Tribolium castaneum: one gene and its partners. The protein of the gene in region 1 purifies or fractionates together with the protein of each later gene. This does not show direct contact. Links are inferred from orthologs where the notes say so. Each region holds a gene or a part of one and is shown on either strand. Other genes may lie near its edges.

What was found.
Region 2: the proteins of Tbp (region 1) and Taf12 purify together in Drosophila melanogaster (affinity purification with western blotting; 3 studies listed by BioGRID, with this or other methods). This does not show direct contact. The link is inferred for Tribolium castaneum from reciprocal best matches to the Drosophila melanogaster genes Tbp and Taf12.
Region 3: the proteins of Tbp (region 1) and Taf11 purify together in Drosophila melanogaster (affinity purification with western blotting; 3 studies listed by BioGRID, with this or other methods). This does not show direct contact. The link is inferred for Tribolium castaneum from reciprocal best matches to the Drosophila melanogaster genes Tbp and Taf11.

Annotation. Positions count from the first base shown.
Region 1 is NC_087402.1:9,986,871-9,990,631, reverse strand, and holds Tbp (uncharacterized protein Tbp), read right to left. Parts: upstream 2,499-3,761; 5' UTR 2,407-2,498; coding exon 2,361-2,406; intron 2,317-2,360; coding exon 2,090-2,316; intron 2,041-2,089; coding exon 1,898-2,040; intron 1,852-1,897; coding exon 1,332-1,851; 3' UTR 838-1,331; intron 791-837; 3' UTR 285-790; downstream 1-284. Other genes in the region: Bka (rRNA-processing protein FCF1 homolog), read left to right, coding at 2,909-2,911, 2,961-3,569; Tbcc (tubulin-specific chaperone C), read right to left, coding at 3,595-3,761. UniProt on the Drosophila melanogaster protein: General transcription factor that functions at the core of the DNA-binding multiprotein factor TFIID.
Region 2 is NC_087402.1:3,650,074-3,652,413, forward strand, and holds Taf12 (transcription initiation factor TFIID subunit 12), read left to right. Parts: upstream 1-872; 5' UTR 873-1,106; coding exon 1,107-1,700; 3' UTR 1,701-1,747; downstream 1,748-2,340. Other genes in the region: fatty acid hydroxylase domain-containing protein 2, read right to left, coding at 2,258-2,340. UniProt on the Drosophila melanogaster protein: TFIID is a multimeric protein complex that plays a central role in mediating promoter responses to various activators and repressors.
Region 3 is NC_087394.1:5,384,260-5,388,020, reverse strand, and holds the start of Taf11 (transcription initiation factor TFIID subunit 11), read left to right. Parts: upstream 1-1,397; 5' UTR 1,398-1,825; coding exon 1,826-2,106; intron 2,107-2,149; coding exon 2,150-2,334; intron 2,335-3,761. UniProt on the Drosophila melanogaster protein: The TFIID basal transcription factor complex plays a major role in the initiation of RNA polymerase II (Pol II)-dependent transcription.

The DNA of each region.
Region 1 (3,761 bases):
TAAAAAAAATAGAATAAACTGGAAGAGGAACTTTCAAATTTAACTACCGAATTTGGTGCAAAGAAAAATAAACTCCGGGAAACAACAAAACGGTGCGAAACTTATAATCATAAGCTGCAAAATCTTAAGAGCCTAAAGTATGAAATTTAAATGACTCTTACGTTGGTCTCTAATGAATTTATTTCAGGCTCTCCTTATATTTGTATAAGTTATTAACTGCAACACAATTTGATTATACAAGACCTAACACAGGCTGTATCCTTTCTAAAAAAAAAACCAAGCCGTTCATTTTAACAACTTTATTCCTTATAAACTAACAGATATGGTACGGACGAACCCTCCAAACTATGAAGTCTTCAATTATGGTGAAATAGGCGAGGAACAAGTAGTACGAAAATTATGGGCATTAATGGAAAAAATGGCACATAAAAACGAATAAAAACTTAAATTTATTGCTTTTTCTTTATGGTAACCGTTTTAAATATTGTATATGAATGGAAAACACTCGCGCTTGTTGCAATTGTAAAACCAACAACGAATAAGGCTACAATTACCATAGCTAGTAGCATTCCTTGGATAAATATGTTGTAAGTTATGTAAAAAATTCCCTGTGACGCCAAAATTCCCGTGTAAGTGAGCAATAGCGCAACGGGCATTAGGGTGGCTGCTGTGACCACGGGGAGCAGGATAACGGCCAAAATCACCACCAAAGACATGGACAAAATCGGTCTTTGCACTGACCATTTTAGGAACATACTTCTAACATTCTTCACCAAATTTCGCACTTTATCTGATAAAATTACGATTAGTAACGCAATTATTGGCGTGTGGCCTCACCTGGTAAAATGGGCATTGTTGTTATTTTACGCCGAACTGTAGAGATTAAAATAATTACTTGAACATGTTGGAATTTGACATCGCTTTTTATCAGTTCCAGTATTTACAAGGCGTGGAATTTGTACCGTCTTCTGATATTCTTCCACTTTTTTAGAGTTTATTGTTCTTCATTTAAGACAAAAACGAGCGAGTTTTTTCTTTTTGGCAAAAAATTTGAGGTTATGTGGCAAAAATTTGAATTTTCGTAAACCATAATCAACTTTAATTAATTATTTACTTATCAGTTTTGAACTTAAGTACTGAGCGGAATTTTCCATTCCCTTTCGATTGATTGTATTCTAGTGCAGCATAATGTATTAATAATGTAAAAAAACTAATTTTGAGGTTAGATTGGACTTGTCAAAAGGAAAAATAAAAGCAATTTTTGATTCTCGTCTATTAACAATATAAAAGGCCCACTTACAGTCAACAATTAAACGTAGCACATGAAGCAATTATTGCTTTTTGAAGCTTTTCAGGATTGGATAAATATTATCAAAGGCTTCGTAAATCTCCTGCCTGATTTTGGCGCCAGTCAAGACAACTTTACCCGAGACAAAAATAAGTAGTACAATTCTGGGCTTAACCATTCTGTAAATTAAACCGGGGAATAACTCGGGTTCATACGAACTGAAGGAACTGTGCGTGAGGACAAGTCCTTCCAATCTGATCGGAAATTTAACGTCGCAACTTCCCACCATATTTTGAATCTTGAAGTCTAAAAATTTCGCGGGGAAGCCCAGCTTTTGGATAATTCTCGCATATTTCCTCGCTGCTAGTCTGGAGTCGTCCTCGCTTTTAGCCCCCGTGCAGACCATTTTTCCCGAAGAGAAAATAAGAGCAGTAGTTCGGGGCTCCCTGATTCTCATTATAACTGCAGCGAAACGTTTGGGGTTGTACTCAGCGTTACGTGCGTGAAGGGCGATTTTTTTCAAGTCTAACTTGCAGCTGAGGTTAACTGTGGAGACAATATTTCTGCAAAAAATATTCAAACTAATTTTACTAAAGTTTGGACTGTTACTGTAATTGGGGGACAATGTTGGGGTCGGCCGAATGCGGGGTCATCGGTGTCAGGGGCGACGGCGTCGCGGGGCCCATCGACGGGGTGTTCGCTGCACCACTTGAGCCCCCCAAATTCACCATAGGGGACATCATAGTGTGTTGCTAAAATTTTAATTAAACGTTCCAATTATTCAATAATTTAGTTACGTACTGGTGTTTGTGACTGGATACTCGTGATGGGGAGGGCGAAGCCCGCATATTTCGTATGGGGCATGGACATGCCCATGCCCAACCCCAGAGTTGGTGTTAGGGCTCCCATTGGGGCCAAAGGCGGGACTTGTTGGGACTGTGATGTTGTGGAAGGTTGCTGCTGCTGTTGTTGCTGCAGAGCATTGGGCAAAATCATCTGATCTTCCTCGGGCTGGTGCAAGGGGGTTCCTAAAGCCTCACTAAGGAAGTGTGAAGGAAAAATCGAGACTTACCTATGCTAGGAATGCTGAAACCGGGGCTTGGCAACATTTGATCCATTTTGGTACTTGTTGTCTTTACACTTTTTTAATTAACGAACTAATTAACTGAACAATAAAATCATAGTCAACATTTAGCATAAACGGTTATAATTTTTAAAAACTTGAACTCAGACCATACAAACACAAAATAACATTCCTTGATTGTTCTCTTTCAGAGTTTTCGTCACGAAAATACTGTTTTTCACTGGAAAAACGGATTTGGAAGCAAATTAATAAATTATTCTCCTAGCATAATTTTTGGGGACAAATCAACCAGAATGTTGGCAACGCCCGCCTTAACCTCACTCAAATTCGCATCATAAATTTAAAAATAACACTCACGGCTCACGCTCACAATGTCGCCTTTTAAAAATTTCGAGTCAGTGGAACAGTTTTTTCACACAAACAATTATTTTGGATTTAATTTATTCACCTCTCCCTGATTGTTTATTTAGTGTTGTAATGTTGGCAACGCATATTTAACCTGACTTTTTCTACATGTGTTTATTTTAAAATAAAAGATGGTAAAAAGTTCGCTTTGGTGTTTGCACAGCGTATAGAAATGTTTTTTAGGGTAAGGCGAAGAAGACGCGAAAAATCGCCCAGAAGCGGTTTGCAAAAATGAAAACAATGATCAGTCCCAGCGACCCTCGCATAAAAGCCAGCCAGAGGGCCCCTCCTCGCAAGAAAAAACCCGAAGATCCACACGAAATGAAAGTGCGTGAGGTGCCCCAAGTTAGTTCGGCGCTCTTTTTCCAATACAACACCCAACTGGGGCCTCCATATCACATTTTGGTTGATACGAACTTTATTAATTTTTCGATCAAGAACAAGTTGGATATTATTCAGAATATGATGGACTGCTTGTATGCTAAGTGTATTCCGTATATTACGGATTGTGTTTTGGGCGAATTAGAGAAATTAGGTCAGAAGTATAAAGTGGCGTTGAGGATAATAAAGGATCCGAGGTTTGAGAGGATTAAGTGCATGCATAAAGGGACGTACGCTGATGATTGCCTAGTCCAGAGGGTCACCCAACACAAGTGTTACATTGTTGCGACGAATGATAAGGATTTGAAACGCAGAATTCGGAAAATTCCGGGTGTTCCCATCATGTATGTTGCACAACATAGGTATACAATTGAACGCATGCCTGATGCTTACGGGGCTCCAAAAACATAATAAACTACGAATTTTTATTACTACGTTATGAATTATCCCAATTTTTTACAAGTTTCCCTTCATCTAACAACGACCAATTTGGAGATTGTCTTTCAACATTCAACCAGTTGAAATCATCAACACATTTCCAATTATTTGTGTTTCGATCCAACCCTGAATTTTTAAAATCAGACTCGAGATTATCATAGTCCC
Region 2 (2,340 bases), about 6.3 Mb from region 1:
TGCTACAAATAGTAGCCAACGCAGAAGCCATAAAGGTAGGTGCATTTTATTTTTGTCACGTATTTTTTTTATTTCCAATAATTACCAATAATTCTTTTATTTCCCTCATTTTCTAATAATCATTGTTTACCTCATCCTTATATCCTTTTTTCCTGGCAAGAATGCTCTAAACCTCCACGTGGTTCTTGCTGGACAAGTTAGTTATTAATTTGACTAATTAGAGCAATCCTTAAATACGATTTTTTTTTAAATTCGTTAAGATCCTAAGGGTCGTTTGTCCGAACATGATTTTCATACAGTCGAAGGCCCTATTAGAGGGCTTGATTTCCTACAAAAATAAAGAAAATTGCAGTATATAAAAGGGATGAAAAAAAATAAAGTTTTCGAAATAGGAGAATTTTAAAGAATCTTTAAAAATTCATTAAGGTCTCAAGGGGTGTTTGTCCGAACATGATTTTTTTACAGTCGAAGGCGCAATCAGAGGGCTTAATCTCTTGCAAAAATAAAGAAAATTGCGGGATATAAAAGGGGTGAAAAAAAAATAAAGCTTGCAAAATAGAAAAATCTTAAAGAATCTTAAAAAATTCATAAGGTCCCAAAGGGTGTTTGTTCGAACATGATTTTTTCACAATCGAAGGCCCTATCGAAGGGCTTAATCTCCTGCAAAAATAAAGAAAATTGCAGGATTTAAAGAGTGTGAAAAAAATCGGTTTGCAATGCTTGAATATGAAAATAAAAAATTCAGAAATTAAATGCAGTCAAGTTTAATTTTTAATAGAATCACATTACAATGGTCAAAAGATGATTTACGATTATTTTGATAATTTTCTTGGTGCAAGCTCCATGCGCGCAGAGATTGTCTGGTCGACTGTAATGTTCATAGTGGCGGCACCATTTTTGGTGCTATTTTCACCGATATGTCATCGTGACGAACTGTCATCGAAGTGACAACAAAAAACTAGAAAGTTGGTTATTAAACCAAATCCCCTTAATTTAACTCACGTTTCGTGCAAATAATTTAATAATCAAAGTGGGTGACTAGCAATGGAGTGCCCCAATCAGTAATTTCCCCACTTTGTTGACTTCAACATAACCCTACTTTCGCCATGTCTGTGCCCAACTTGACCAACAACCTAATCCAGCCACAGAACATCGTAATCAACCAAGTGCCCATCCCTCACACCATCATGACGAACGTCAATGCAAACAACGGAATTCCGCTCACTGCCCTATCGCACGCCCCTGCTTCAGTCGACCAGTCAAGCGACATGAAGCCTGGCATAGTCGTGGAGACGATCCCCATGGCGGGGGCAAGCCTCGTCGGCGTCCAGACCATGCAAACCCCAATCAAGACCATCCAGGGTTCGGACCATGCCCAAATCTTGACAAAACAGCGACTCCAAGACCTGGTGCGCGACACCGACTCCACTCTCAACCTCGAGGACGAGGTCGAGGAAATTATTCTGAACTACGTGGACGAGTTTGTGGACCGGTGCCTCAACGGGGCCGCCCTCATTGCGAAAAACCGGCGCGTCAACACGATCGAAGTCAAGGATGTTCAGCAGTTTTTGAATAGGAATTACAATATGTGGACCCCCGGGTTCGGAACGGACGAGCTGAGGCCGTACAAGAGGAGTCTGACGACGGAGGCGCACAAGCAGCGCCTGGCGTTGATCAGAAAGACGTTGAAGAAATATTAAGATTGTTTATTTTTTTTTTGTAAATAAAAGACGGTTCACAGTCAGAATATTTATTGCTATATTTAACCAATAGTATAATACAAATAGTAAAAATACAGCCCGTGAAATTCTCGCACTCCTTACGCTAATTACGTTCGCCATTTCCTTGGGAAAAAGGATTTCTTGAGATTGTTCCCAAAAACCATTGCTGTTGCCCCATAAACACTAACAAATATAAAATTTATGTAACCGCAACGTAATATAAATGTTATATTACGCAAAACAAGTTTTATTGTGTTTGATGGAACCACAGCTTCCTTAGTTTTTGCCACGTTAGACACAACGGGTGAAGGGACACTTCGTTCATTGGCCAAGGAAGCTGCGGATGGAACATTCCGTTCTTACAATAACCGTCAAATATTCAAAAAAATCACCCCTTAGAGAGTTATAACAATTACAATATTTTTTATGAATCCTGGTCATATTCAGGATGTGTCGCAATAACTACATCTAACAATATTCACTTTAACATTATTACATTATATGTGCATGAGTTAAAATATCGTGCCCTGGCCCCATTACTGCTTGCCCAGCTTGTGTTTGCAAGGGTTGGGGTCGGGGTAGGCCTCCCTTGGAGGTATGAAGCTCAGCATCATAATGT
Region 3 (3,761 bases), on another chromosome or scaffold:
GTATATGATTCATGCAAAAAATTATAGACAGTTCTCTCAACAACTGGAAAAACAGTTAATTAACCGACATGCAATGTCCATCACCTGATCGGTAATTTATTTAAAACGGTTCAAAACAAAGAACAATGCAACAACAAAAAACCGACCTCATCCCAAACATTTAAAACGCAACTTATTAAACCAAACATTAATTCATTCTGTGACGGAAATTAATTAAATTTGTTGTGTGGGTGTAAAAAATCAATATCAATTAACTCCGATTTATAATTAGTACAAAATGTCTCGTCCCATCTTATTGTTTTTTTTTTCTTTCACGAAAATTGCATCTGAAACCTTTCACATAAAGCTTTATAGATTTTCCCCTTTTCAGTAGCAATAACACTGACGTTTATTTCTACAGTCCCGACAAACTTTACGATTTTCGTTTTTCTTCTGCAATGTGCACTTAGCTCTCGTGCAATTTTACATCCCCAATTCCCACCGTACGAACTTTATGCACCTGCTGTAAATTTTCATCCCTTTTACACAGCTCCCACCAGTCTGTTTCTTTCATTTTTAATAAGTCTGGCGAGGGGCAATTCCGCTAATGGTAAGACTGTTTGATATACAAAAATCGAAAATAATCAAATATTTTTTTTGCTCTGCATCAACATCTATTATTACTACGTATCGCTACGTAGAAACAATCATCTTATTTACGAAAAGTTATACATAATACAAAAAAAAAATTGTACCTAACTCGCAATTCATGCAGCACTCGCTAGGCTCGTGCCGTAAATCACCAATATCCCACCTAACATTTTGTGCAGTTAATAGTAGTTTATTTGAAGTCTCACAAAAAAGAAATTTCGAAAGATAACTTGTATTATAAAGAAGTTGTGTGCTACAAATATGTCCCCAGGTCAAAGTTTGTAATTTTATTATTTTCTAAATTAATCAATAAATGTTTCATTTAATAACTGTTGTCATAAGCAGGGGTGGCCAAAATTAAGTAATAGATCTAAATAATTTTAAAAAAACTTTAGGTACTTGTGACCCTTGAAGTCCCCACAAATTGTAGCAAATAACTGAGCATTTTTTCAGGGAAATAATCTAAACGTGGAATCGCGACTCACCTTCTTGGTTTAGCGGGGTAATGGTGGTGGTTGAAGTGGGAGCCAGTGCAAGAAAATTGGGGCACAGCAAGCCCCATCCAACGCTCTAAGGCCCCCTGCGTGCAGTCGGCGAGCACCTGCGTGAAAAAATTCAAAATAGCCACAATTTCGTGCCTTTCCAAGCGTTCCCAGCTAACGGTTTCGCACACAATGCTGTGGACGCTTGGGTGATCAAGGGGGCTCCAGGCCCGATTTGACATTTTGACAGTTGTCATCCAGCAAACAAAAGCCACCAACTGGGATACTTACAACGTGATTTTGTTGCCAAATTCGTACGATTATCACACTAGAACATTGTCAAAAGCGGTTAATTGCGAATTAACTGGTCCCGCAATAAAACAACGAAAAAAAAGCGTTTTTGTGTCGTTCACCGCGACGAATCGACCCGACACGTTATCACAATTTTTATCACTGCGAATTGGGCCTCAAACTCGAGAGAAATTCATCGTTTCATTTACTTCGCCTTATTTTACACACAATAAACAAAATTATTGTCAAATATGAGTGTGATATATTGACTGGAATTTGACACTGGCGCCACCTCAGATTTGCACGGAACTACAGAACTACCAGTAGAGGGAGCAGCGATCGCTCATTTTTTCTGTCAAAATTAACACATAACCTTACTTCATTTCCAAAAAAATAAATAGATAATGTGAAAAAAAGACACAATGGACAACATTTTTGCGAAACCTCCAGCCTCCACGAGTCAAATCATCAAAGCTGACCCCAACTACGAGTCCATGGACGAAGACGACGACTCCACTGTGGAGACAGTCAAAGTCGAGGAGACCCAGCTCACGTCTGAAATTCACATCAAAGACGAAGAAAATGTGTACCTGGAGTCGGATATAATAATGCCGGAAGCCCCTCAAAGTAGCAGCGCTCCGGCTAAGAAGAAAGAGGTGAAGACTAGGAAGGAGATGGAGGAGGAAGAGCGCGAGAAAATGCAGTAAGTTGGTGTAAAGTGGGGTTTACTGAGGGTTTGTTGTAAGGGTTCTAGTCTCGAATTTCACCGAGGATCAGCTGGATCGATATGAGATGTACAGGAGGTCGGCGTTTCCCAAAGCTGCAATTAAAAGGCTGATGCAGACGATTACAGGGTGTTCTGTTTCCCAGAATGTGGTCATTGCTATGGCTGGGATTGCCAAGGTCTTTGTTGGAGAGGTTGTGGAGGAAGGTGAGGATAATTCAAAAAAATATTTTTTTTATTTTCTCTATTACACCAAAACTATTCGAAAATGTGGAATTATTTTGGTCTAAGCCTATGTAAAATGATCCGAGGAATCGATGGGCGCCGAGAAAATCTCCAAATTCCCAATAGTTTTTTAGTTATGATTTTTTTAAGTATTAACCAGACAGCTTTCCAATGAAATTACGTCTAATAGTTTAATTTTTTTTATTTTTGTGAAGATAAGTGCCTTGACCACTAAAATTATGGTAAATTTTAGTTGACAATTGAGACCATCAGCTCGAGATTGAAAATACATTCGGAAGCTCAAATAACGTGAAAATACGTATTAACAACTTTTTTCTACAGTTGCCACTGCTTAAAGCACTCTTTAAGCTGTAAATTTATTATTATTTTTTTGATTAATTCAAAAGAAGTCGATACGAAAAAGCTTACACACCTCTTTCCGGCAGTGGTGTCACTCTAAAAAATTAGTAAAACAGTCCAAAGACTTAGAAATGTCAAACTCTTTTTTTGTGTGCAAAAAAAATCAAACATGTAAGTATTTGTGTAATTAATTATTACGCTCGATAAGACTTTCTTTATGGAATAGTGGTCTAACGAACCATTGCACTGTGGACTATGTAAAAAGTAAAAAAAATAACTATGTAAAATTACAAAAAAGTTAATTCCCTATTTTTTTTAAAATGCCCTTTTGGTTTAGCGAAGAACAGGAAAAAAACATCAATTTGAAGAGTTATAAAAAATTGTCTTGGAGCCGTGCTTTGAAATTTTAGGTCGCAGTTAAACAAAAGTTCTAAGATTATAATTTTGAAAAAAATTTTTCTTTTCTGTGCCCTACTGTTACAATAAAAAACCGATAATAAATAATAAATTCAAGACAATTGGTCGCCTCTAACAATATTTTTAAATAGCAAACAGATATGAGTAAGGAAATGGCAGTAAAAAACAATAAATCATAAACTAGAAGATTTTTCTAAAAGCTTTTTTTGTTTTTGCCCATTTGCCTATTAAGTGCCAATTTTTAAGTTTTTTTAATTTTTGAGTTAAAAGTTGCAACGTCGTAAATTAAAAAAACAAACTTAAACAAACAATGTACAATATTTCTAAATGCCCTTCGTTTTCAGATCAATGATGAATCTATTTTTTTTGATAAAGTCTCAATTGACATATTTTTAAATACAGTACTACTAGAAAAATCATTCTTTGTCACTGTACAATCACATTTTTGCTCACTAATACTCATTTACGTAATTAAAAAATAACTAGGAGCATTGCCGATTTTATAACTCAAGTCGGAGGCAAAATCTATACGTTAAAGATATGAAAATGACATAATAATTATTCCCAATTGTTATCTATCTATCCTGTTACTTTTCACGTTTATTCTATTTAAAGTAATGAAGCCTTTTGCG